Linked DNA regions of Macaca mulatta. The protein of the gene in region 3 interacts with the protein of the main gene of each other region in a biochemical or structural test. Links are inferred from orthologs where the notes say so. Each region holds a gene or a part of one and is shown on either strand. Other genes may lie near its edges.

Region 1 (3,960 bases), on a different chromosome or scaffold from region 3:
ACATGGTTGGTTCCTGCCTTGCACCTTGAGCTGCTGGGATAGGCTCTAGCCACTCTCAACCCTGAACTGGAAAAATTGGGTAAATAATGATCTTGTTTATTTTGAGACACTTATCTTACTTATTTATTCCACTCACTCTGTTTATTCCACTCACTCTGTTTCCTGGCCTGGAGTGCAGTGGCATGATCACAGCTCACTTCAACCTCGACCTCCTCAGCTTAAGTGATCTTCTGCCTTGGTCTCCCAAATTGCTGGGATTACAGGCATGAATCACTGTGCCCAGGCTTTTGTTTTTTGTTTTGTTTTTGAAACAAGGTCTCACTCTGTCGCCCAGACTGAAGTGCAAAGACGTGTGGTCATGGCTTACTGTAGCCTTGACCTCCCGGGCTTAAGTGATCCTCCCACCTTAGCCTCCTGGGTAGCTGGGACTACAGGTGTGTGCTGCCATGCCTGGCTAATGTTTTGTATTTGGGTTTTATTTTTCTGTAGAGATGGGGTTTTGTCATGTTACCTTGGCTGGTCTCAAACTCCTAGGCTCAAGCGATCTGCCCACTTTGGCCTCCCAAAGTGCTGGGATTACAGGCGTGAGCCAAGGCACCTGGTCTGGCCTCTTTTTATTAATCTTTCTTAAATGTATGTATAAGTCACATTGATGTCAATGTTTGATATTAGAGGTGTTTTGTTCTTTAGAAGTTTGGTGATGTCTTGTGACCAGAAATATGCCACAGGAACTTAACTCTTGTTTATATCAATTCACAATCCTATATCAGTTCACAGTAGTTCAAACTTCTCCGTTATAATTTCTTTGTCTTCCTCCCATCCCCGTCCCCTCTCCCACCTCCCACACAAAGAAAACATAATACACGTCTGGCTCTGCGATCACACAACGTCGGAGAGTTTTCAACTTCAGCCCTTGACAACGAGTTTATAGATGCGGTGGTGCTTCGTTAACCTGAAGAGGATCCTCAGCCACGGAAGTTAGCCGTCTTTCTCCATCCTGGCTACACCATTAGCCCTCCCAGAAATAGTCCCAAAATTGTCTGGTAGAAATGCTGCACGGAAACTGCCGGCCAAGGACAGCGGACCGAGAAGAGTGACGCGACGCGATGACGTCACGCAGCAGCCGGGTGATTCCCCAGCCTCTGGCGTCACGCGCCGATGACGCAATCCCAGGCGTTCGCCCTTCTGCAGGCCAGGGTTTGGCCTCGCTCCTACGGGTCGGTCAGGCGCTCCCCGCCCCCTCCCACCTGCGGGAGGCGGGGCGGGCACGGCTCCGCCGGAGCCACCGCCGCGCCGGGGAGGGGGAAAGGCCGGGGGGGAGGGAAGGGGGAAAGGGCGGGGGTAAGGGGGAAGAAGGAGGAGGAGGGGAGCCAGTGAACTAGGCGGTCAGGCCCGCCGAGCGGCGTACAATAGCGCAGTTGTAGGCGGGGGAGGCGGCCCTGCCGCGGCTGCAGCCGGAGCCGAAGGTGGCGGCTGCACAGTAGACGCCCCCTCACGGCTTCCCCCACACGCTCCCGCCCCCTCGTTCGCCTATTGCGCCTCCCTCGCAGGCTCCGCCGTCCTCCTCCATAGACGCTTTCCCCCTCGGACTCTTATTCCCTTTTTCACGGAGCCCCGCGCTCTCGTGAGCCCCCTCGAAGAACCTGGTCTCCGCATCCAGTTCCCATCTCCTGCCTCAGAGGCCATCCGAGCTCTTCGCACCTCGCCCCTCAGCCCCCCACCGTTGCCCCCGCCCCGCGTCGCCTCGCTCCCTGCCGCCCCCCCATCATCCCTTCCCTCGCAGTTCCCCTGTCCTGAGGGGATCCCCGGCACTGGCGGCGCGGCGGCGGCAGGAGGGAGAAAGTGAAGCGGTAGCTCGCACACACTCGCGCCCTCACTCCCGGCTCGGCGGCACCCACCATCGGGAGGAGGAGGAGGAGCCGAGAGGAGCTGAGCGAGCGCGGAAGGTGAGAGCGGGCCTCCCGCCCGGTACCCCTCGCGTCCCGGGCTGCCAGGGTTGGGGCGCGGGGGTGCGGACGGGTGGAGTAGGGGTCTGGGCCCATTTATCTCGCGTGGCGGGGCCGGGCGCTTGGGCCGGCGGAGGCTCCAGGTAAGGTGAGGCGGGCGTCGCCCAGCGAGGCCCGCTCCCGTCGGGCCAACAAAGGCCCCCCGTGCGCTCACCGGCGGGGTCGCGGGTCTCAGACGCCGGGCGATCGAGAGACCCGGGAGAGGGAAGGGGCGGGGCGGGGCCAGGCCAGGCTGGGGCCGGGAGCCCCCACGGGTACCGGTCCGGGACCGAGTCCCTTCCGAACTTTGCAGTCCTGCAGAGCTCACCCTGTCCCACTACGAGGAGGCACAGCAAAGCGGCGCCCCAGTTCCTTCTGCATGGAATAAATGACCCCTTCTAGGCTTGGACAGTCACCTTTAGGGTTTTACTCCCTGAAAAATAAGGGCTGGTAGGACTTGACTTACGCAGCCCCTCCCCCACCGCGGAATATTCTGTAACTTGGGAAGTGAAAAACAACCGGGAAAGGAGATTTATAGTTATTTTATGTTCATTAATCCATTTGAAAAGACATGATTGTTGTAGTCTTCGCTATCCTATTTCAACAATACACATTACTGGGAATGTTTTGGAAGAATACTTGAGAAGTAGTGGGTTGTGAGCAACGTCCTTGGTTTTTAAACCCCTTGGATAATTGTTCTACTCTTAACAAAAACTGAACAGTGAAGGGAAGGGTTAGTTCTGTGGTTACTAATAAAAATTCAATTCGTTAGTCTTGACTTTAAGAATTGTTCTTGAGAAAAATCTTTAATTTTGCCTCCTACATTTGTGGGTTCTCTTTCAACTCTGTCAGGAGAAAGTAGGAATTATCAGTACAGATACCTCATCTCTTACCTTGTGGCTTCATCTACTTCTTGTGTGACCTTGAGCAGGTCACTTCCAGCCTTAAAAGCTCCAGAAGTTTGGTTTTATGCCCCAAAACGGGCAGGTAGCAAGCACCAACTCAGCTTTCAAGAGTCCACTGAAGAATTCCCACACTGTGAAATCTTTGCTGGCCTCCATCCTGTCCCTCCTCTCAGACAGAACTGACTTTTTCCCATTGGCCCGGTGAGATTTCTACCACAGCACTTACAACATTTTGGTTCCTATTTGGAAAATTCTAAATCACGTGCGTAGAACCCCCCCCCCCCCAACTAGCAACTATGCCTTTCAAAAAGGGTTTTGGGAACATTGACGCTGAAAACTTCCCATACTTTCCCTGAAGTTTATCCATACGCTTAACTACATGAACTCATGTGTCTGCCTTGGTGAATTTGCTAATTCAGTCAATTCATTTATCCAACATTACTGGAGTTTGGAGAGCTACTATGTTTCAGGCCTCTTGCTAAGGCTATGGGGATTCAGTCTATTAAGATATTCCCTGTCTTCAAAGAGCTCAAAGTCTAATGGGTGAGGTAGACAAGTAAACAATGAAGGTCTGCCCTAATCTCTGGGGGACTCCAGTTGTACAGGTAGTAGTGTGCAATAATTGAGGCTGCTGGACCTGTTTTACAAGTCTTCTCTTGGCCAAAGTGAGTCCTGCAGGGAAGGTGACCTGCCTCATCCATAAGAGGGCATTTGGTAAAAAGCTTGTTCAGTTCAATTCAATATACATTTACTAAGCGCATGTTTTGAGTCCCTGTGCTAGGTTTGAAGGAAGCAGTGCCTCAAAGGAAGGTACTGTGCATCCAGAAAGATTTCCGTGAAACAAAACCTTACCACATCAATGCCCCCTACCCCTGACTCTTCATATTCTGAAGATAAATTTCAGACTAACATGGAATAAGAAACTCTCAGGCATCAGACCACTGCCTGCCTTTGCAGCCTCACTTTCTGTGGCTCCCCTGCCACTCTCATCTTCGCTTTTGCATGTTCTGTTTTCTTCCTGGATGCTTCCCTTCCACCCTTTACCTGCCTGTGGAGGTGTCCTTGTTGGG
Region 2 (4,024 bases), about 55 Mb from region 3:
AAATTTATTCACATTAAGCATTTATTAAATGCTAGGCCCTGTGCTAAATACTCTACATACATTATGTCATTCAATCCCCAAGACACTCTATGAAGTAGGTCTTATCATCAGTATCAGCCTCATTTACAAATGAGGAAATTGAGGCTTGGAGAAGTTAAGTAACGCACTTCAAGATACCTGGCTGGTTGGTGATGAAGCCAGAATTAAAAGACAATACTCCCAGAACTTCAGAGCCAGAAGGAAGCCTATAATTATCTTTCCCCCTTAGCCTTCTTGAAGCTGAGGTTTGTAACTTACTGCCTGGCACATAGTAGGCCCTTGAAAATAGTGATTAATAGACTGATGGAGTGCCCTAATTTCTCAGGTTCTGGCCTTCGCCTGAGAGAGCCCAGCTGCCACCACAAATAGGCTCTATTCTTTCTGCCCAACACCTCTCACAGGTGTGAATTGCTTGTGTCATCTGAATTATTCATGATCCACACAATGGTAAGTGTGCTTAAAAAGAGAACTACAATGCTGTATTTTTCAAGACAAAGTGCCTGATTAATTGGGGAATTAGGCAGTATAAACTTATGGGCTAGGTTGATTCATGCCAAACAATACATCCATGCCCACTTTTTGAATTTCAGTTTTTACATAATTTCCCAGTTTCCCTTAGGATTAAAAATACGGGTAAATAAAGCAGGAAAAAGAACCATCATGGGCATCTCTATCCTATCTGAAAGCAATTAACATCATCTAAATCTCATACTGTGTTGTTTCAAACCAATGTATTCTTCCGAAGGCTGTTAGGATTTTCAATCAGGCTTCTTAAGCTACATCAAGATCTGGAAATTCAGATGCCACAGCAGCTGTAATTCATGCCACCAGTAAATCATGTGACACCACCACCTCCTTGTCCTTTCTCCTTTCGTCTTTTCTTTTGCCCCACCAGTTCATTTTCTAGTGGGCAGTTTTCTGAGAGGAATAACCATATGCTAATAGAAAGCCAACACCACTGTATTTTCAATTCAATGTTAGTCAACCAAAATGAATTGAAAAACAGCAGCAGTGGTTTGAGGGTACTAAAAATAAACTGTAGCATTTGCTGAGTTCTCAGAATTAAAACCACGGTGGTCAACTTGTTGCTGCTCTTAATAAGATATGACTTCTGCCTCATTGGCTGCTACTACTAGAAACTTGAACTATGTCACACACCTAACAACGATGTGTTTTCGATTAGTTGGCAGTGATCGAGAAAGGAAGTGCCATTTCCCAGGAACTAAACCTGCCAAGAAAGATAACAGATGGCTTTCAAGTGATCACCTTGTACCACATCACAATTGCACCTTAGTCAAATTCACCTTGCATTTATGATTTAGTGAGTTACACATCGAAAGCTGTGGTTGCCTTTATGCCCTGCTTGCTCTCCACTGCCTCCAAAAAGGTGTTTATTCCTTTGAGTTTAATTTGTGAATAATAATAAAAACAGCCCAATGGGACTTAATACAATATTAATATATTGAACACTTCCATTAGGACTTCATGACCTTCTTGACCCTTAAATACCGTATACTACACTAAATGTCTTATCAGCTGTCCTTTTGGGTTTGTCATTAAAGTTTTCAATGACCAGAGAGGTAGAGGAATTCTATCTAATGCATCATTCTGATTAGAAACCTGTCATACTCAGAAACCAGTGGGTCTGCTTCTATTGATTCCTACTCCTTCAGATTCATTAGCAATTTTTTCCTCTTCAATTAGACCCGAGGATCAACCATAGAAAAGCTGAAAGAAGCCTTCCCTTTGCTCAACCTTACTTAAAAGGAATAAAAAAATGTATGCCTTGCTGGTGAAATTACAGACAGTATTATTAGAAAATGTCTAAGGAGTCTCTCTCTCTCTCTCTCTCTCTCTCTCTCTCTCTGTCTCTCTCTCTCTCTCTCTCTCTCTCTCTCTCACACACACACACACACACACACACACACACACACACAACTTGTAAATATGCCAAGAGTCAGAGGCTGGGCTCGACCTCCCTTCCCCTAACCCACTTCAATCAGGATCAGAAAGACACATCCCTTCATCGCTGCTGTCTCAAACCCATGCCCAAGCGAGTGTCTCCACAGAGCTAATTTCTGAAACAAACAAAGAAAATCAAGTCTGCGAGGAACGAGGGTTTGCTCCCCTCTGCTCCGGATTTGGGTGTCCAGGGTAGCGGACGAGGCACGGCAAACAGGTCGGGGCGCTCAGCTTGACCCCAACCTTCTCCGCCCCGCCAGCCCCCGCTCCAGCTGCGCCAGAAAGTGCGAGCCTGCCCGCTCCTTTCGCTTTTCGCCCGCTGCACCCCAAGCCCGAGAACACCCGCGTCCGCACACTAAGGGCACCACCGCTCTCCCACCTCTGCGCTGTCAGATGTCAGGCGCGGAGGTGCTCTGGGCACCGAGGTGCTAGCGAACCAAACAAGTGTCACCCCAGACGCCTGCCCCCACTCCAAGAGAGCGGGCGGGACGGCCACAGGTAGGCTCTGTCCATCCCAGGGTGCGGAGCGAGGGCAGGGGGCGAGACCCGGCGCGGCAGCCGCGCCCGACGGGCTGAAACTCACCGGAGGACACCGAAGAGCCGGACAGGCTGGAGTTGCTGGACGCTGCCATCTCCGCGCGCCCCTCGCGTCGCTGCTCGCTCAGCCCCGGTGCGGGCGCCGCAGCCGCTGCCCTCGCCCGGCCGCTCGCAGCCTCCGCGGCCCCCAGCCCATGGCAAAGTCCTGGGGACGCGCAGAAAGCACCAGCCTCCGGACTCTGCCTGCACTTCCTGCTCCACCAGATGACGCGCTGCCGCCGCCGCTATTTATTTGTGGTTTCCGTCCCGCTCCGCGCGTTTGCACGCTTTTCTCCGGGTGTCAGGGGGTAGGTGGGAGCAGAGGGAGGCCGAGGGGCGGCCGGGACGGGCGGATCTCGGCTCCCGCCGAGCCCCTCTGCCGGCCGCGCTACCCTGTGCGCGACTAGGACCAGGGCGTCCCGGCGGCCCCGAGCCGCCCCGCCAGCTCCCGCACCCTCTCCTGGGCTCCCGCCTCTCCGGCCGCACTTCGAGTAGCCCGGGCAGAGGCGGCGGGAGACGGACAGACAGAGCGACCTCCCCCTCTCCCTCCGCCCCAACTCCGCTCGCGCACACACAAAGGAAGGAGAGGAGACGCGGGCGCACGGGGGCTGGTTCGGCTACCGCGGGCTTGACAGCTCCCGCCAGTGGGGCTGGAGGGGGAGGCTGTGAACTGCTGGACACGGGGAGGCGAGACCGGGGACCGGGTCCCCGGGGTGCTGGGGAGGCCGGCGCGGGGCGCGGGGCGAGCGCGGCTGCGGCGCGCAGCGCTGCTCGTAGGGTTTGAAGGGGATGGGGAGGGAGGGTGTGGGGGAAGGTGGTGGGGCTCGCCGCGCCCCGCTGGGCTCTGGAGCAGCGAGACAGTGGGGGTGGGGGATCCAGAGGGCGAAGGCGGGATCACTAGGGCCACGGTGCTAGGCAGAAGGGAACCTGGGATGACAGAGCCACTGTGGAGCGCTCCTTCCACTCCCCTCCAAATTATCCTTTGTTGCTCTGGAACTGACGGCCCCTGCCCTGCAAGAAGGTGCGTTTCCTAAAACACCCGGGAAGCCAACCCAGCTACACTTAAGTAACCCAGCCACGGACAGCGCCCGACGCGTCCATGGGCCTCTGAGGTTGGCCTTCAAAGAAATAGAGCCGTCCAAACGTGTCATCAGGCCCACACAAAGCCGGGTGTCAAAGAGAAAAAGGTTCTCCTACTGTGCCTTGCAAAAAAGATTCTCACAAAAGACTTGACTTAGCAGCAAGTCCGACTGTGCCCTTTCAGGATAGGAAATGCTCAGGTGTGTGACAGAAAGAGACTCGAGGACAAGGTGTGCCCCTTCCCCCTGTATTTAAACCTAAATTAATTTCACTGGGAGGAAATATCATGCAGATTTTTTTTAAATCTGTTTCACGCTCCCAGCGGGCTAATCTGTTCTTTCAATCCTAAAGCAACAGAAAACTGTGA
Region 3 (4,174 bases):
GCGAGACTCTGTCTCAAAAAAAACAAAACAAAACTGTGCTTGATCAAATGCTCATAACTAATTAAAAAAAAAAAACAGACTGAAAACTCAAGGCCACAGGTTTTTAAACCTAATACTCCCTCACAGAGCCTCTGTCGTAGAAACCGCAGTAACAGTACCAGGCACTTACTAAGCACTCAGCAAGGGGCACCTGCAAAGTAGTTAATAACCAACATCTTGTTTACTCTTGTTGACCTCCCGCTGAACCACCTCTCCTGGGAGGTGGGGGATGTGCTTAGGGTTACCCCATGTAAGCGGTGGAGTGGGTATTTGAAGGGAGGGTCCAGATTCCAGGATAGGCATTCGACAAGTTATCTGACTAGATAAAACAGCCAATTCAAACAGCAGAGGTCCTTAATCGGTTAGTATTAAATAAACGTATCTGCTATGCTTATGTTTTAGTTTCAGCATTTTTCAAATAATTATCAGCAATATGACTTATAAAAAAAAAAAACAGGCCGAGGCGGGGGGATCACTTGAGGTCAGGAGTTTGAGACCATCCTGGCCAACATGGCGAAACTCTATCTCTACCAAAAAAATAAAAAATAAATAAATAAAATTAGCTGGGTGTGGTGATGTGTGCCTGTAATCCCAGGTACTTGGGAGGCTGAGGCATGAGAATTGCTTGAACCCGGGAGGCAGAGGTTGCAGGAACAGAGAGAGCGCCATTGCACTCCAGGCTGGGCAACAGAGTGAGACCCTGTCTCAAAAGAAAAAAAAAAAGAAAGAAAGAAAAAAAAAAATTGGGCTGGGCGCGGTGGCTCACACCTGTAATCCCAACACTCTGGGAGACCCAGGCGGGTGGATCACCTGAGGTCAGGAGTTCGAGACCAGCCTGGCCAACATGGTGAAACCCCGTTTCTACTAAAAAATACAAAAATTAGCCTGGCACGGTGGCGCATGCCTATAATCCCAACTACTAGGGAGGCTGAGGCAGGAGGATCGCTTGAACCTGGGAGGCGGAGGTTGCAGTGAGCCGCAATTGTGCCACTGCACTCCAGCCTGGGCAATAGAATGAGATTCCGTCTCACAAAAAAAAAAAAAAAAAAACCCTTGGATAGCCTACATACTCTTAAATAAGTGAAAGTTAGAATTTTTAGTTATTATATAAACAGAATTATGAGGCATTAATAATATTATTTCACATTTCCAAGACAAATATGACAGATGGGCATCTTACAAAAATCAGTTGTCTAATTATCCTTCTTGCATCTGAATTGCAAGAACCAAAATCTGTCCTAATGACAAGTTTGAAGAATATCAACCAGTTAACCGTGATGCCAGAGCTTGCCTTGGACTTTACTGGAACATGTACCAGTTGCACTGAGTTTTATTAAACTGGTAGTAATTCTTCCTTGCTAACACTAACCTATACAAGCAACGCTGAGACGCGCGATTTTGCTTGGGTTACACTGAGATTCTTGTTTCTATGGGAGAAAAAACTGCATAAGACAAGTCTTGTCTTCCTCCAGGGCCTGTAACCACCACAGACAGTCATGAAAAGCAATGCCTGGAGTCACAGGGGGCCAGTTCTGCTACATCCCATACCTAACGCGTTAAGCAAAGAACAGTTTATCAATGACCACACCACGTTAAAAAAAAAAAAAAAGAAAGAAAGAAAGAAAAGAAAAAACAGTGCCCCTTACAGCCGGCTCCTCCCAGCCAGCATCTTAAAAACTTTCTCCACGGAATAGGCGAAAACAACAATTTTAAGAATCCTAACAGTGGCAGAAGTGTAAGTTGAAAAATCCTGCTCGAAAATAAGTTTAGAAGCCGGGCGCGGTGTCACCCCAGCACTTTTGGAGGCTGAGAGGCAGGAGGATCACTTGAGCGCAGCAATTCGAGACCAGCCTGGACAACACAGCGAGACCCCCAACCCCCATTTCTACAAAAAGTTTTAAAGATTAGCCAGGCGTGGTGGCACACGCCTGTAATCCCAGCATTTCTGGGAGGCTGGGATGGGAGGATCGCCTGAACCCAGGAGTTCGAGACCGGCCTGTGCAACACAGCGAGAACCGGTCTATGAAAAAAAATATATTTTTCTAAAGAAAAGTTTGGGGGCACCAAAGAGGCCCGCACAATCAAGCATGCATCAAATATCGACTTGACCGCCGCGTTCCCAACACAGCTCTCAAGGCGAATTGAGAGGTTCATGCAAAAAACAAGAAAGAGTCCCTTTTTGGAAAAATGGTCAAAATCTCCAAGAGCGCTTCCTCTACGAGCGCTCCCGAGGAGGGCGGCGGGCGGCGTCCGGGAAGAAAGCCGGAGGGTGGAGTTCACTTTTCCCTCCGGCCGGCGAGCGGCAAGGCCCTCCTCCATCCAGAGCCGGAACCTGGCACGCGCCGCCCGGGAAGTCAGGGTCCAGTGGGGGCGCCAGCCCGCGGCCCCCGCCCCGCGATACAGGCCCAGGCCCACAGCCTACGCGAGCCCGCAGCGGGCGGCCTGCCTGCCTGGGTCTCAGTCCGGGCCAGACCCCCGCCCGCGCCCGACCCCGCCGTCCCCAGTCCGGCCCCGGCCGCGCACTCACCCGTCTCCCACCACCACACACTTGATGGCCTGCATCTGGGCCGCTCGCTGGGCCGCGGCGGCGGCGGCAGGGCGCTGAGATAGGAAGCGGCGGGCTCGGGGCGCGGCGGACGAGCGCGCGGCTTGAGGGCGGCGGGGCGCTGGGTGCCGGGGCCGCTGTCCACGCCGCCTCGCCCTCCGCGGACTGGAAGCTCAAGCCCGGCAGCGGCCACCACCCAAAGCTCAGGAAAACTGCAGAGAAACAGGAAATGGCCGCTCCACTCACATCCGGCCTCCCCTCCCCCGCGCCGGCGTCGCCGCTCCCAGGTTCCGGGCGGGGCCGCTCCCGCCCGCGCCGCTCCCGGAGTTTCTCTGGACTTCGGGAATGCTCGGAAGCGCTCGGGACCGCTCGGCTCCGACCGCGGGGAGCGGCGGCCGCCATCTTGGCGCGCTAAGGAGGCCTGGGCGTGGCCGGACCTGCAGGTCCTTTCCCTGGGGTTCACGGTTTAGGCTTTAAGAGGAACCTGTCAGTCGGGCGCGGTGGCTCACGCCTGTAATCCCAGCACTTTGGGAGGCCGAGGAGGGAGGATCACAAGGTCAAGAGATTGAGACCATCCTGGCCAACATGGTGAAACCCCGTCTGTACTAAAAATACAAAAATTAGCCGGGCGTGGAGGCGCGCACCTGTAGTCCCAGCTACTCAGGAAGCTGAGGCAGGAGAATTGCTTGAACCTGGGAGGCGGTGGTTGCAGTGAGCTGAGAGGGCGCCACTACACTCTAGCCTGGAGTCAGAGCCAGACTCCGTCTCAAAAAAAAGGAACCTGTGGTGGCTGGGCGCCGTGGCTCACCTCTCGCCTGTAATCTCAGCACTTTGGTTGGGAGGCCGAGGCGGGTGGATTACAAGTTCAGGAGTTCGAGACCAGTCTCATCAACGTGGTGAAACCCCATCTCTACTAAAAAAAATACAAAATGGTGGCTCACGCCTGTAATCCCAGCACTTTGGGAAACTGAAACAGGTGGATCACGAGGTCAGGAGTTCAAGACCAGCCTGGCCAACATGGTGAAACCCCATCTCTACTAAAAATAAAAAAAAAAAAGTAGCTGGGCATGGTGGCGGGTGCCTGTAATCCCAGCTTCTCGGGAGGCTGAGGCAGGAGAATTGCTTGAACCGGGACCCAGGAGGTGGAGGTTGCAGCAAGCTGATATGGCGCCACTACACTCCAGCCTGGGATACCGACCGAGACTCCGTCTCAAAAAATAAATAAATAAAAAATACAAAAATTAACCGGATGTGGTGGCAGGCACCTTTAATCCCAACTACTTGGGAGGCTGAAACAGGAGAATCGCTTGAACCCAGAAGGCAGAGGTTGCAGTAAGCCGAGATCGCACCACTGCACTCCAGCCTGGGAAACAGAGTGAGAGTCCGTCTTAAAAAAAAAAAAAAAAAAAAAAGAGGGACTGTGGTTGCAGGAGCCACGCTCCCTGTCACTAACTCCGGCTCGGGGCCATCGGAGGGCACTGATTTCCATCCCCCGTTTCGTTATCTTCATGTAATAACTATGTGCAATGACATTAGGTCCTTTTAGGAAATTCAGAATCTAAAACTATAAGGAAGAATAAAATCATACAC
Region 4 (3,500 bases), on a different chromosome or scaffold from region 3:
ACCATAATCTAACTTTAGCTAAATAAGAGAGAATATAAACTTATTTGCACAATTTTTTAGTTTTGTTTTTTAAGTTACACTGCAGTCAAACCTCTTTTCACCCTTAACCATGAAATTTTAGTCCCTATTTTAAAAAGATTTTCTTTTTTTTTGAGACAGAGTTTCACTCTTGTCACCCAGGCTAGAGTGCAGTGGTGCAATCTAGACTCACTGCAACCTCCGCCTCCTGGGTTCAGGCGATTCTCCTGCCTAAGCCTCCCAAGTAGCTGGGATTACAGGTGCCTGCCACCATGCCCAGCTAACTTTTGTACTTTTAGTAGAGATGGGGTTTCGCCACATTGGCCAGGCTGGTGTGGAACTTCTGACCTCAGGTGATCCACCCATCTCAGCCTCCCAAAGTGCTGGGACTACAGGCGTGAGCCACCACGTCTGGCCAAAGATTTATCTTAAGTTGCCTTCTCCAAGTGCTAATTATCCTTGTAAATGAGGACCACATGTAATCAATCCAATCTATGAAATTTAAGACCAGGTTAAGCCATTTGCAAGACAAAAGACTACTGGTCTAAATATCAAAACTGCTTAATTACACACTTTATAAAATTATGCTCCCATTGTAAAATTTAAAGGAAATAGTAATAACACAAGTTTTCACTAGACATTAATAAATATAAATGGCTAACTTGAAATATTTCAGCTATTTTTATGTAAACTGAATAGCAGTCATGCCAAAAATGAAAAGATTAAAGACTGCTACCACGTGGAAGCATCAATGAATTTTAATCTGAATAATACTAAATAGATACTAGTATTCCTAGGAAATGAAGAGCCTACTTATTAAGCACAGGTATATAAAAACAAACTCAACTGCAGTATTCTTTCATGCAATACATTATAGACTGAAATGACTGAAGCTTTCAGTCTTACCGTCAACTGCATGGAGAGAGGTAAGAGACTCCTCGCTTTTAGCTGAGCGGAGGGTTCCTTCTGCCCTGCCACCTGAAGAATAAAAAACAAATAGCGTGAAGATTTATTATTTGTTACATACGTGGTTAACGGGATCAGTGTTTTCCTTGATACATTTAAACTTCTGAGAGTGATTAGCTGTACATTTCGACAGCAATTTAGTATTCTATTATATAGCGTGTGACACTGTTCTTAAATGGTTTCCCGTGTGAAAAATCTCTTTTCTAAAGGATTATGAATTTGAGCACAGAGATTAACTAAGATGCTGCTTTCTTTCACATTTCGTAAAGACCAATATGATATCTTGAGATGACATCATACCGGAGGTAGAGTGGACCTTACACCCAGCGACTGGCGTCCCTGTAAGAACACACAGACACAGAGATGGCCATGTGGACATGGAGGCAGAGATTGGAGGGATGTTGCCACACGTCAAGGAATGCCAGGAGCCACCAGGAGCTGGGAAAAGCAAGGAAGGATTTTTCCGTGGAGCCTTTGGAGAGAACACAGCCCTGCTGATACCTTGATTTCAGACTTTGAGCTTCCAGAGCCACGACGGAAAAAAAAGAATGTTTATTTTTTACCACTCGACTTGTGGTAATTCGTTACGGGAACTCTGGGATATGAACACAGGTAACTTTACGTACATATGTGAATCTTATTCGCTAAATATCTTCGTCCTCTTTAACCCCCTGGCAGCACTATGAATGCTTTCTTTTTAACCCCCTCTTCCCCTGCTAAGGATAGCATGCATCTTTTTTTCTCTGCCTACCTTTATAATCATTCCTTCTTACTCTCCTCTCATGACAGCTCTTCCTTTCCCACCTTTAAACATTGCTTCTCTCCAAAATTCAGCCCTCAGCTGGCTTCTTTTCACTCTGCTCCCATCTCTTGAAATACCATTCTTAGTCCCTTGTCAGTTAGGTGAATCCCTACTTCTCCTTGACAACCCATATCAAAGGCTGTATTTTCTAATCACTAGCCCCTCCTCTACAAGAGTTGACAATTCCTACTATAACTATCTCATGTAACTATTTCTTTTATTTTTTAAGAGACAATGTCTCACTTTGTCACCCAGGCTGGAGTACAATGGCACAACCATAGCTCACCGCAGCCTCAACCTCCTGGGCTCAAGCAATCCTCCTACCTCAGCCTCTAGAGTAGCTGAGACTATAGGTGTGTGCCACCAAGCCTCGCTTATTTGCAATTTATCTTTTTTTTTTTTTTTTTTGTAGATGCAACGCCTCACTTTGTTGCCCAGGCTGGTCTTGAACTCCTGGCTTCAAGCGATCTTCCCGCCTTGGCCTCCCAAAATGTTGGGATTACAAGTGTAAGCCACTGTACCTAGCCTAAACCACTATTTCAGTAACTATGATTCTGTGCTAATAATTCACTTTCTTACACGTATGACTTCCCAATTTGACTTGGAAGGCAGACTACCTTAATTTTCTATCTGCAGAGACTGCTATCAAAATAGTTAGCACATGCTCTACATGATTGCAAACTGAATGACGAATTAAATGAATTGAACGTTACACCTCAAACACTACCTAAGAAGAAAGTACTACTATCCTTCCTAGATTCAGAAGTTGTTACTATCAATAGAACATGGCTTTTAAACGATTTTTAAAAGAGCAGTTTTTCAACAGTAATAGATTTATTCGATCTAATAAAATACTCTATTAATGAGACTCCTAATAAATAATACCTTCTTTAGTTAAAAGAGTTATAAACTTGAAAGGTATGTTGAAACACAGTTTTGAAATTTTTTTAGATCTGTAAAAATACAGATCGATAAATTTAGATACCATAGCAGTATTTATTTACAACAATATACAAGGTATATGGGAATTTAATCACATTTACACTATATATAGAGTTTCCTTAAGAAAAGAAATTGCATACTTCTACATATTTATATATCATTTATATAATATTACTTTTCGGTTTAGGAATAAAGAATTGGTGAAAGAAGACACTCCATATGTGTGACACAACTGTGAACATGTTACGGAAGCGGATCATAACAATATGTGAAGAATGTGCCCAAAGCAACCAAAGACCATCATGACAGCAGCAGAAGTGAGAATCTCCCAGGCATTCACCTTTCAGAGCCATGGCTTTCATCTCTGAAGGCTCACTCTCATTCCGCTGCAGCTTTCGTTTAGAAACAGATGATGATTTCCCCAAGTTGAAAAAGGAACGCCAGCTACCCACAGGAGACTTTTTCATCTTATTTTGAGGCCTCTTTCTATGAAAGAGAAAATAATCAATCAATATTAAGATAGCCATGGGTCTGTCTTTTCTTATAGAAAAGAAATGAACACATGACAGAAAGAACCAAACAGCCTGGAGAGGCATAAGTGAAATAGTAAGCAAACATCTACCTTCCAGACAGCACACTCTACACAGTGCAGCCAAAGCAGAAAATGGATATTAAACATGCAGATTTTAGTATTAGTAACTATTTTCACAAAGATCATTCTTATACATGTCTTCATATTTGGATCCAACCTCACAAACTGAAAAATAAGTGG
Region 5 (3,500 bases), on a different chromosome or scaffold from region 3:
GTGTTTCATTGATCTTTGATTTCTCAGTGCTGACACCAGGTTAAACTGCTGACTAGTTTATTTAGATATTAAGGTACAAATTTGGAATCCTATGGTATTAGTAAGTCATGTGAGTCTCATCATTCACTGTTAAGGACCTTTGGAGAATAATTCCCTGTCATGAAGCAAGACTTGATATTAAAAGCCAAAGCAAAGCTTTGTGAGATAAAGGCAGACTTCAAAGACAAATATAATCATAATCCCAAAAATATAATATTCTGAGAATAACCACAAATATTTTTTACCTGTTAAAACAATGAATGATTAGGGCTACAAAGATTTTTGATGACTCTATTTTCCTCCCCTAGCTCTGTGTTTAATTCCCTCTCTAATTACTTTCTGAGAAATCTAGATACTTAAAAAGGATAAGGAGACTTTTTTTTTAAAAAAAGGAAACATATAGGGAGAAAATCTTCAGAAAAGGAGTAAGAAAATTCTAAATAGAATTAAAAGTTTATGATAAATTTTAAGTTCAAAAAACATATATATAGCTATTACTCCTCCAACTGTTTTCATGCTCTCAGAAAAATCCTAGTATACAATAATATCATTTTCATGTAATGATAATAATAGCATATAATATTTATACTTTCTATATGCCAGGCACCGACAAAGCATTTTCACATATTAGCTAACTGAATTCTTACCACATTACAAAACACAGGTTATCATCTTTTTTTTTTTTTTTTTTTTTGAGACGGAGTCTCGCCGCGTCACCAGGCTGGAATGCAGTGGCGCAACCTCGGCTCACTACAACCTCCGCCTCCTGGGTTCAAGCAATTCTCCTGCCTCACCCTACCAAGTAGCTGGGACTACAAGCACATGCCACTATGCACAGTTAATTTTTGTATTTTTAGTTAGAGACGGCGTTTTACCATGTTGACCAGGATGGTCTCAATCTCTTGACCTTGTCATCTGCCCACCTCGGCCTCTCAAAGTGCTCGGATTACAAGCGTGAGCCACCGTACCCAGCCAGGTATCACCATTTTTAAATGAGGACACGAAAGTGCAGAAAATTAAGTTTACTGGCCCCAAGATCATATCAAAAGAACAGCAGTCAAGATTCTCACCATGTATAAACCCAAATGACAAATTCATAACAACTATACTATTTCACTACTGTAAGCATCTTAATTTCATTAGAAAACAAGTTTTTAAAAAAATTATTATAGATATCAGGTCTACCCAAACATTTGCCACATTTAGAAATTCTTGATTCCTATATGTAATTCTCTTTGTCAACTAAACCTAAGAGTGTGAAAATATTTCAGCTTGATTTTAATTTATTAATACTATGACCCCAAAGAGGAGACCGATATGGCTTACAAAAGACATAAATCAAAATGTCTGGCCAGACATAGTGGCTTACACCTGTAATCCGAGGCGGGTAGACAGCATGAGCTCAGGAGTTTGAGGCCAGTCTGGGCAGCATCGTGAAACCTCGTCTCCACGAAAAGAATAGAGAAATTACAAAATACAAAAACTAGCTAGGCACCATGACTGGTCTCCCAGCTCAGGTGATCCTCCCACCTTAGCCATACCAGCTACTCGGGAGGCTGAGGTGAGACAGTTCCTTGAGCCCAGGAGGTCAAGGCTGCAGTGATCCAAGATTGCGCCACTGCCCTCCAGCCTGGGTGACAGAGTGAGATTCTGTCTCAAAGGAAAAAAAAAACAACAACAACAACTTTATGGGTCTATGTACTTCAACATTTGCTCTGCTACAAATCTATAACATTAAGGAAGTACCTCAACTAATGATTCCACACCAAATCTGTTTTTCAGATATTAAGCTAAGTAGACTTAGAATAAAGGATATAAAGAGAAGAAGTAAGTCTAAAATATAATGCTAGATCTAGCTTCAAAGATTAGGCCTAAATAATTAAACTCAGGGGTTCATTGAACTTGTCATTCACAAAGACACCAAATTCACCTCAGAGCAAAGAATCAAAGGTTACCAAGTTAAAGCAGGCAGTTCCATGTTCCTATGCAATTGCAAATACTCAAAGTGTATCCAAGAAGCCCATCACAGGGATGAATGCCTGCAGCAGCCTAGCTCTGTTGCAGCCCGCTCCCACATGCCTCCCTTAAAATCATCCTTCTTATCAAATAGGGATTTGCTGTTAGTTTGGTTGGAAGCAATCAGAAGCTACCATTAATGAAGTATTCTCTCCTGATAAAAGAATGTAAACATTTGGGGAAAGAAAAGATTTTCAGGAAAAACGAGCGACTGTGCAAAGCATTTGAAAACTGAAATCCCACCTTCACTTGGAATATGTCTTTATTAAGTTAGAGAGCTCTCAAATATGCCTCACACAAATGAGATAACTATTTCCATTTAGTCTACAATAGCAAATTAAACTCTATAGGTCACAAGCACCATTTCAACAAGGAGGGTTAATTATCTGTTGTATATGGTTAAATAAGAGCTTTATAGTAGCCAGGTCTTGATCTCTTAAAATGACTGAAAATAAAGTTAGTATATATAAATAGATTAAGAGTTGAAATTTTACATCATGATTTCTAGACTTTGGTTTTCCTAACCAATATATTTTAAAACTTGGAAACTCAAATAGAGTTAGCAAATTTTTATTTTTCCAAATAGGGACTTGTATTTGTTTAAGGCCATCTACAAGCACCATTAATTTTAATGAAATGAAAAATCTAACTCAAAAAAAGTAGACTAAAGGATAATCCTTAAATTGAGCAAATTTAGTTTTATTTTATAAAGGACTGATAAGAAACCTCCTTGGGGCCAACACTAGTCCTTGAGATAAGCATCTGGGAACCAGCTGTTAAGAGGAAAAAAGGTTAGACTGAGTCAGGTTCCACTTATGATTCTACTACTTATTAACTGTGTGAATGCAGATAAAAACTCTGAATTTCAGTTTTCTCATCTATAAAATAAGAATATCCCACCTAGCTCACAGGTCTGCTGTGGAAATCAAAAATAAAATGTACTGAAATAGTGTGAAAAATGTGACAAGTTGCAGAAAAAGTCAACTAGACCATACAACTTACCATCAGCTGACTGGGTAAACAATGCATAATCAGGATTGACTATCTCATTGGACAGAATATCAAACCATTCACGCACAACACCTTGACCCTGAATTCAAGAAATAAAATTAAGCATCAACAGAAATATGTTATACTGGGAAATTTTTTTCTAAATAAAATTTAAATATAAAGTTTCTTCCTTTATCAACTGAACATTAAACTTTATTCAAAAGGCATTTCAATCTTTCTTTACATACAGTGATTTCTACATCATCATCTTTTATACCCACCATGCCTTCTTCTCCATGGAACCGTACAGCAATCCCTTGCTTTAGCTTTGCACAATTTGCTTTTGACACAACTTCACAGCTACTCCTAAAAATAGAATCTAAATATGTAGCATTGGTTAATTTTACATATTAAAACTTACAATAACAAGCACTTTGTGGTTCACACATACATCA
Region 6 (3,500 bases), on a different chromosome or scaffold from region 3:
TGAGTCTCTCTCTTTTGCCCAGGCTAGAGTGCAGTGGCACGATCTCGGCTCACTGCAATCTCTGCCTCCTGGGTTCTAGTGATTCTCCTGCCTTAGCTCCCCAAGTAGCTGGGATTACAGGCGCCTGCCAAGACACCCAGCTAATTTTTGTGTTTTTAGTAGAGATGGGGTTTTGCCATGTTGGCCAGGCTAGTCTTGCTCCTGACCTCAAGTGATCCGCCCACCTTGGTCTCCCAGAGTGCTGGGATTACAGGCGTGAGCCACAGTGCATGGTCAGTTAGCATTTTTTTTTTGAGATGGAGTCTCACTCTGTTGCCAGGATGGAGTGCAGTGGCATGATTTCAGCTCACTGCAACCTCCACCTCCCGGGTTCAAGCAATTCTCTCGCCTCAGCCTCCCAAGCAGCTGGTACGACAGGCACGCGCCACCACACCAGCTGATTTTTGTGTTTTTAGTAGAGACAGGGTTTCACCATTTTGGCCAGGATGGTCTCAATCTCTTGACCTTGTGATCCGCCCGCCTCGGCCTCCCAAAGTGCTGGGATTACAGGCGTGAGCCACTGCGCCCGCCCCAGTGACGCAATCTTGACTCAATGCAACCTCCACCTCCTGGGTTCAAGTGATTCTCTTGTCTTAGCCTCCAAGTAGCTGGGATTACAGGCACATGCCAGCACATCCAGCTAATTTTTGTATTTTTAGTAGAGATGGGGTTTCACCACGTTGGCCAGGCTGGTCTTGAACTCCTGACCTCTGGTGATCTGCCCACCTCGGCCTCCCAAAGTGCTGGGATTTAGGGGTGAGCCACCACGCCCGGCGACATCTCTAGATTGTAATTGAAGCTACCGTTGCTATAAGAAAACAATGTATTCTTTATACTTTAAGCCATAATGTAAGGTGTAAGTTAAAATCCGTCTGGGCCAAATGTTTTAAGAGCTGTTAACAATTTAACAATGATATAAAATGTAGATAAATTGGCTAGGCGCGGTGGCTCAAGCCTGTAATCCCAGCACTTTGGGAGGCCGAGGCGGGCGGATCACAAGGTCAGGAGATCGAGACCACAGTGAAACCCCGTCTCTACTAAAAATACAAAAAATTAGCCGGGCGCGGTGGCGGGCGCCTGTAGTCCCAGCTACTCAGGAGGCTGAGGCAGGAGAATGGCGGGAACCCGGGAGGCGGAGCTTGCAGTGAGCCGAGATCGCGCCACTGCACTCCAGCCTGGGCAACAGCGTGAGACTCCGTCTCAAAAAAAAAAAAAAAAAAAAAAAAAAAAAAAAAAAAAAAATGTAGATAACATACTTAATTTCTCCATAATCTCTTCATCTGTCATTTTAGTCTTCTTTTTCTGTTTGTCTGAAGACTTGGCACCACCATCAACACTTGAATCACCAACTGGTGCAGGAACGGGGTCAATTACAGACCGTGTGTAAATCTGTGGAGAAACAGTTCATTACTAAGGTCTGAGGAATCATGTTTTCAGATATTCTTGCTGGCACACTAATTCAGTTCTTTGATTTTTAACCTGAACTAAGTTATCTCTTCCATTGTTCTAAATAATGAGAACACTATTTTCAGATATAAAAGATGTGTAACTAAGAATAAAAAATATGAAACATTTTTCTTTGGCATAGCATGTATATATTTGAAAAGCTGTCTAGTAAAACAGCAAGTCCATGAATGAAATTTAAGTGTGACCAGGTCTAAAATGGTACAACAATGTATCAAAAAGCACAGTTTAAAAATCCTGTTTTAGGCCGGGCACGGTGGCTCAAGCCTGTAATCCCAGCACTTTGGGAGGCCGAGACGGGCGGATCACGAGGTCAGGAGATCGAGACCATCCTGGCCGACACGGTGAAACCCCGTCTCTACTAAAAAATACAAAAAACTAGCCGGGCGCGGTGGCGGCGCCTGTAGTCCCAGCTACTCGGGAGGCTGAGGCAGGAGAATGGCGTGAACCCGGGAGGCGGAGCTTGCAGTGAGCTGAGATCCGGCCACCGCACTCCAGCCTGGGTGGCAGAGCAAGACTCCGTCTCAAAAAAAAAAAAAAAAAAAAAAAAAAATCCTGTTTTTACTACAGATGTAAGTAAAATGCAAAAGAATGGAAACCTTGACGTTGAAAGATTATTAATTCCCACAAAAGTTTTTACACAATTATAATGCCTACCACCCATTTCAAATAGCCAGGTTTAAAGGCTAAAGAAAACAGTCCTCTGCCGTCAGCTCGGCATCCAGAGGCCGTCCCCGGAGCTCTGCCTGCCCACTGTGCCACGAGCACAGCCCATTCCACGGCACAGCACCTTCCCCACCCTCTACTTGCATCAGTGCAGAGAGCAGAACGGTAACTGCAGTCATTCCTCTCTTCCTGGCTCCATTTAAGGCCATCATTTTTAGTCTCCCTTACCTGGTTAGGAATTTCACTCTCAACTGCCTTTTGAATGACATGAAGGCGCTGAGAGGAGTGTAAAATGGGAGATTAAAACACATCATCTGGGTAGGAGGAAAGCTGTAATAGATTTACCAGCCATCTACGTTGAGATGAACAGAGAAAGCTTGGGAAATAGATGAACCCACTGGAAAAGCGTACTACAGAAAGAAAAAAGCCCAGTGAGGTGAGTGCGTTATTTATTTATTTATTTTTTTGGAGACAGGGTCTCGCTCTGTCGCCCAGGCTGGAGTGCAGTGACGCGATCTCGGCTCACTGCAAGCTCCGCCTCCCGGGTTCACACCGTTCTCCTGCCTCAGCCTCCCGAGTAGCTGGGACTACAGGCGCCGCCACCACGCCCGGCTAATTTTTTGCATTTTTAGTAGAGATGGGGTTTCACCATGTCAGCCAGGATGGTCCTGATCTCCTGATCTCGTGATCCACCCGCCTCAGCCTCCCAAAGTGTTGGGATTACAGGCGTGAGCCACCGCGCCCGGCCTCGAGTGCGTTAACTTTTAAAGACACATCACATTTCAATCTTCAGAAAACTAGTTTTTGGTGAGTGGTCTTTGGGTACAGATCTCTCGGTTAAATTTCCCCACACTAAATGGTTTTAAACTCGACGGCTTTCTAAAAGCAATCACTGAAAGTCAAATACAGACTCTTGTTTTTTAAAACACACACGCACACACACAGCCTAGGTCACCAATCGACACTCACTGATTTCGTATGATCTGGTCGTGGGGCAATAACAGGAGGAGCAGTCTCTTCATCATCATCATCTTCCTCTGTCACTACTGCGGGTGTTTCTGTTCCCTTGGCGTTCAGCTGCATTGATTATGAGCAAAGTCAGGAAAACAAGTCAAATAGGCTTAAATGTGACTATCGCCCTTTATGAACAGACTTCAAAAAGTTTGCTTCTTTGATAGCTCATTTCAAAACCATTAAATCTCATTAGCTCTTATATAACTCAAGAGAATTATAATCTAATAAGGTGATTCTATGAATTATGAAAAAGTTTATGAAATAAATATGTTCAGTACCACATCTTTTTAATAAAGTACTATTTACCCTAAGCATAC
Region 7 (4,108 bases), on a different chromosome or scaffold from region 3:
CCTCCCCCACCCCCTCCAACTTCTGGACCTCTGTACAAACCCTTAGGCTGCCTCCACAGGTGAGTGCTGCTGGGGGTAGGGCTGGGCCCACCCTGAAGGGGTTCTCCCTGTGGGCTGCAGGAGGGAGGGAGGATGACGAATGACTGCCTGGGAGGGCCCATGCCCAGTTCCCCCACCCTCTTTGGTCTGGGTGAGGCACCTGAAGCTCTGGGGACTTCTGGCTGAGGTCAGCAAAGGCATCACCTAGTGCATGCTGGGTCTGCAGCAGGCTGTAGAGGTGGGCTGTCAGTGCCCGGCCCAGCTGCAGGACACTCTCATACTTGCGCTTCGTCTCACGCAGCAACTCAATCTGCAGCTCTAGCTCCAGGTCCACAGTCCGTGAGCCTCGACCAAATCGTTCTGATAACAGTTGCTTTGTGCACTGATTGGGAAACGGGGCAATAGATCAGAGACCCTAATAGCCTCCCGACACAACAGGTATCTACCCCAACGCCACCCAGGCTCCTACTCTCAGCCACAGATGGGATATTACGATCATGAGGAAAGGGGAAAAAGGTACCCATAACGAGTTTTGGGGAAGTGAGAGGTGCTCAAATCCTACCTTATAGGTGTTGATGCCCCATTTCTTGACGATGTCAAACTTTTCTCCAGCAATGCCCCGAGCCACCTCATCTCCAGGGCCAGCAGGAGTGGTGCTGTGAGATGGATGGCGGCCAGACCCTAAAGGATCAAGTTCTCTGACACCAGCCTCTCTCAGATACACCAGACACCTCTGTGGCCCCACCCATGCTTCTCTCCCAGCACATGAAATTGACTTCCCTGAAGGAGATGCTAGAGACAACTGGATTCTCCTGTTTACTAGGAGGAACTCGGACCTTGCACAGTGATAACCAAATCCTGATATACATATGGCCTCCTTGGAGGCCAGAGGAGGGGTTTGCAGGGAGTTGTTGGTGTATAGGGGCAGAGGAAACAGAAGAAAATACACTGAGTTTGGGGGCAGCAGGAGTCAAGGATGGTGGGTCATGATAACAAGAAACCTGGTTGCATTCCCATGTGGAATCTTAGTGTGAGATTCAGGGCTGTTTGTTCCTCTAAACTTTAGAATCTAAAAATTCTGAAAAGCCTCACAAAGTTCCAACTCAGCCTCAAGCTGTAGAGCGGGGGCATTCCTGTGAAGTAGGTCTTAACTTGACTCAGGTGGTGGCAGGGAAAGGACGAATGAGCCATTTCAGGGGCCAAGTGGCAAAAGGGAAATGGATGGACAATGCTGGGAGTTGCTTTTGGGCTGAGGAGAGTCCATGGGATTCCTACAAGCAGAAGTTCCTAAGATCTCCAGACATTATTCAAGCTTTCCTAGACATATCCTATGCTTCCCCAAACCATTCCTGTCCCCTCCTCCACCCAAGCTTCCTGTTTCTGTTCATACCTGTGGGGATGAGTCCATCACCAGAGCCCCCATAGCCACCAGACACAATGCTGGTTTCATTGAGGTTGGGTCCTGACACCATCACTTGCTGGAGGTCCTATAGGCCAGAGAAGAGGGGTTGCTTCAGGAACATAGGGACTGCAGAAGCATTTTGGAGGTGGGAACAAGTTTGGATTCAAGCATCATAAAGACACTACACAAGGGAAGTCTGCACAGAATCAAAATGATATGTAAAATTAAGGGAGTCAGATAAGTTCAGGGGAAGGCTACTGGAATGGAGGGTGAGAACCCAGGATTTATAAATTGGATTCCTAAATTGAAACAATTAGAAGAATCAAACAGAAGCACCTGCTCCAGCCCATCATCTTCAGGAAGCTGCCTGGCTTCACCGTTCCCGTGGATAGGGATCTCCATTGTGGCTGCCTTCCCTAGGATCCCGTCCGTCATGGCTAGGAAAGGTATTGGAGTAAAACTCTCCACCCCAGCACCCTGCAAAGCCCAACACAGAAGTTCTGGGCACTGGCCAGCACTCTAGAAGAAGGAAGCCTCCTCTGTCATTTCTTTAAAGGCTGTCCCAGGGTTTGAGTGTCCCAGCGTTTGGTCATCATTCCTTTCTTCAGGTATATGTATTTCTCCCCTCCAAAATGCACATTTGTACACAGGCACACCAAAGCACGGTGTCTTCTCACAAGCCCCCAACCTCACCAGGCCTCTGGTGATTATTCTACACTCATTCAGTCATTCAGCAGACATTTAGTGAGTGCCTACTCTGTGTCAGGTACTATTTGTGACAATGAAAATACAACAGTGAAGAGGGAAAGTAGCTCTCTTAGAACTTATCTCCATGCAGGCGTGTTTATGCTGAGCAGGAGATGGACCCTTTCCAGGGCTCAGGTCTTCACCCCCCATTCAGGTTTGTTCTCCATTGCTTGGCCTTTCTCACTCCTTTAGTGTTTCTTCCCCCTTCCTTCAGGGGGTCTCCCCTCCTACGTCTCATACAACTCCTCTTCCTTGGGCCCTCCCCACCAGGCCTTAGTTAGATCAGTTGGTGTATGTTCCCAGTCTCTGGCAAAAGCCTGTCTTTACCAGGATATCGGTGATCCCTTCCACAGTCAGTCTCCCAGGTATGTGAGTCCCCGCCCCCACCCCCATACACCTGGACATCAGGTGTGTCCTCATTCTTCCCCAGGGCTCGGGGCATCTTGCCCTCTGGACAGGTTTGTGCGTTCAACTTCCCGTCGCCCAAGCATGTCCCTCTCACCTCGGGCCGGGCCGCTCTTCCCCTCAGGGCGCCAGGCCCGGGCCGCGCGGGGACCTCGGGCTCCAGTTCCCGTCGCGATCCTAGCAGCAGGTCAGGGACTCGGCGGAAGTGACGTCCTCTCCGGGCAGAAGAAGCCGGCCACGTCGCAGATTATAAGGGCGGAAGTGACGTCGAAGCCGGGGCAGGGCGATACTCTAGCTTGGTTCTCGAGAGCAGCGAGAGGTTACTTCCGGGGCGGCACCGAGAAGCTGAAAAGGAAGTGGCGTAGAGCATGCGCCGGTGGCGTGATGGAGCAGCAGCAGCAGCAACAGCAACTGAGAAACGTGAGTGAGAACTAAGTCGTTTCGGGGCCAGACGTTCAGCTCGCATTCCTGCACACATCGCGGAAACCCCATAGAGCCAGGGATCTGAGGGCTGGAAACTTCGGGTTATGGTGCGCGGGCCTGGGAAACTTTGGGCTGCGCGACCTTGAGTAGAAGTGTGGGGCACATATCGCTGAGTTCGTGGTCCCGGTTTTCTCCCAGCTGCGTGACTTCCTGTTGGTCTACAATCGGATGACAGAACTCTGCTTCCAGCGTTGTGTGCCCAGCTTGCACCACCGAGCTCTGGACGCTGAGGAGGTGGGGAACTGTGTAAGGAGGTTACGCTGCAAACAGAGTTTAGCGGTAGACTGCTTCCCTCCTCACCCCACTTCCCCTACCTCTGGTCCTGGCCTTCCCAGACCCTCACCCCTAGGCTGTGCATGGGGAAGGAAGGAGGCGGGCCCGACAGGACACCTTTGTCCTCCGCTTAAACCCTATCTTCCTTCTAGGAGGCCTGTCTGCACAGCTGTGCTGGGAAGCTGATCCATTCCAACCACCGCCTCATGGCCGCTTACGTGCAGCTCATGCCTGCCCTGGTACAGCGCCGCATCGCAGACTACGAGGCTGTCTCGGCTGTGCCAGGCGTTGCTGCTGAGCAGCCTGGGGTCTCTCCATCAGGCAGCTAGCCATCTCCAACCCCAGGAGGGAAGGCCCTGGATGGACCCTCAGATTGAAGGACCCAGTGGACCTTAGGGTTGGTGAATCCTAAACGGAGAGAATTCGAGGTCGCCTGAAAACTGGCTGTCCTTGCTCCTTTTCCTGGAGCCAATATACTCGCTTTTTACTCTGTTTGATTTATATTCTGGGCAAGGAAGCTTTGCATACTTTATTGGCATAATCCTTTGTTCTGTCATTTAGCCATATCTGCTGGCTTCAGCCCTGGCAGCTGATAAGTTGTCTTCTATATGTAGAAGGAAAACCTGAGTATTTGCAGGCATCTGGTTAAAGCAGGGTCTGTGTGTACAATTTTAAAATGAGTAATATGTCAGGCTTTATCTTAGTTTACAACAAAACTACAAGTAAGCGGTATTAGCCTCACTAAATAGATGAGGAAGC

Evidence for each region.
Region 1: the proteins of RAC1 (region 3) and PAK1 form a complex in vitro, tested with the Homo sapiens proteins (17 studies listed by BioGRID and IntAct). The link is inferred for Macaca mulatta from reciprocal best matches to the Homo sapiens genes RAC1 and PAK1.
Region 2: the proteins of RAC1 (region 3) and CHN2 form a complex in vitro, tested with the Homo sapiens proteins (2 studies listed by BioGRID). The link is inferred for Macaca mulatta from reciprocal best matches to the Homo sapiens genes RAC1 and CHN2.
Region 4: of the proteins of RAC1 (region 3) and ARHGAP32, one has a biochemical effect on the other in vitro, tested with the Homo sapiens proteins (3 studies listed by BioGRID). The link is inferred for Macaca mulatta from reciprocal best matches to the Homo sapiens genes RAC1 and ARHGAP32.
Region 5: of the proteins of RAC1 (region 3) and HACE1, one has a biochemical effect on the other in vitro, tested with the Homo sapiens proteins (5 studies listed by BioGRID and IntAct, with this or other methods). The link is inferred for Macaca mulatta from reciprocal best matches to the Homo sapiens genes RAC1 and HACE1.
Region 6: the proteins of RAC1 (region 3) and PAK2 form a complex in vitro, tested with the Homo sapiens proteins (2 studies listed by BioGRID and IntAct). The link is inferred for Macaca mulatta from reciprocal best matches to the Homo sapiens genes RAC1 and PAK2.
Region 7: the proteins of RAC1 (region 3) and ARFIP2 form a complex in vitro, tested with the Homo sapiens proteins (2 studies listed by BioGRID and IntAct, with this or other methods). The link is inferred for Macaca mulatta from reciprocal best matches to the Homo sapiens genes RAC1 and ARFIP2.

What each region holds. Positions count from the first base shown.
Region 1 is NC_133419.1:77,888,564-77,892,523, reverse strand, and holds the start of PAK1 (serine/threonine-protein kinase PAK 1), read left to right. Parts: upstream 1-1,160; 5' UTR 1,161-1,217; intron 1,218-1,285; exon of another isoform or gene 1,286-1,783; 5' UTR 1,784-1,946; exon of another isoform or gene 1,947-2,089; intron 2,090-3,960. UniProt on the Homo sapiens protein: Protein kinase involved in intracellular signaling pathways downstream of integrins and receptor-type kinases that plays an important role in cytoskeleton dynamics, in cell adhesion, migration, proliferation, apoptosis, mitosis, and in vesicle-mediated transport processes.
Region 2 is NC_133408.1:99,150,391-99,154,414, forward strand, and holds the start of CHN2 (beta-chimaerin), read right to left. Parts: upstream 2,801-4,024; 5' UTR 2,634-2,800; coding exon of another isoform or gene 2,585-2,633; intron 2,500-2,584; exon of another isoform or gene 1-2,499.
Region 3 is NC_133408.1:44,637,067-44,641,240, forward strand, and holds the start of RAC1 (ras-related C3 botulinum toxin substrate 1), read right to left. Parts: upstream 2,801-4,174; 5' UTR 2,602-2,800; coding exon 2,567-2,601; intron 1-2,566. UniProt on the Homo sapiens protein: Plasma membrane-associated small GTPase which cycles between active GTP-bound and inactive GDP-bound states.
Region 4 is NC_133419.1:129,340,124-129,343,623, forward strand, and holds part of ARHGAP32 (rho GTPase-activating protein 32), read right to left. Parts: intron 3,215-3,500; coding exon 3,069-3,214; intron 997-3,068; coding exon 925-996; intron 1-924. UniProt on the Homo sapiens protein: GTPase-activating protein (GAP) promoting GTP hydrolysis on RHOA, CDC42 and RAC1 small GTPases. May be involved in the differentiation of neuronal cells during the formation of neurite extensions.
Region 5 is NC_133409.1:80,964,548-80,968,047, reverse strand, and holds part of HACE1 (E3 ubiquitin-protein ligase HACE1), read right to left. Parts: intron 3,425-3,500; coding exon 3,327-3,424; intron 3,146-3,326; coding exon 3,058-3,145; intron 1-3,057. UniProt on the Homo sapiens protein: E3 ubiquitin-protein ligase involved in Golgi membrane fusion and regulation of small GTPases. Acts as a regulator of Golgi membrane dynamics during the cell cycle: recruited to Golgi membrane by Rab proteins and regulates postmitotic Golgi membrane fusion.
Region 6 is NC_133407.1:2,349,721-2,353,220, reverse strand, and holds part of PAK2 (serine/threonine-protein kinase PAK 2), read right to left. Parts: intron 3,247-3,500; coding exon 3,139-3,246; intron 1,429-3,138; coding exon 1,296-1,428; intron 1-1,295. UniProt on the Homo sapiens protein: Serine/threonine protein kinase that plays a role in a variety of different signaling pathways including cytoskeleton regulation, cell motility, cell cycle progression, apoptosis or proliferation.
Region 7 is NC_133419.1:59,303,476-59,307,583, reverse strand, and holds the start of ARFIP2 (arfaptin-2), read right to left. Parts: upstream 2,801-4,108; 5' UTR 2,691-2,800; intron 1,919-2,690; exon of another isoform or gene 1,879-1,918; 5' UTR 1,877-1,878; coding exon 1,778-1,876; intron 1,527-1,777; coding exon 1,430-1,526; intron 721-1,429; coding exon 602-720; intron 422-601; coding exon 200-421; intron 1-199. Other genes in the region: TIMM10B (mitochondrial import inner membrane translocase subunit Tim10 B), read left to right, coding at 2,978-3,013, 3,215-3,310, 3,502-3,678. UniProt on the Homo sapiens protein: Plays a role in constitutive metalloproteinase (MMP) secretion from the trans Golgi network. May have important functions during vesicle biogenesis at certain cargo subdomains, which could be predominantly utilized by secreted MMPs, such as MMP7 and MMP2.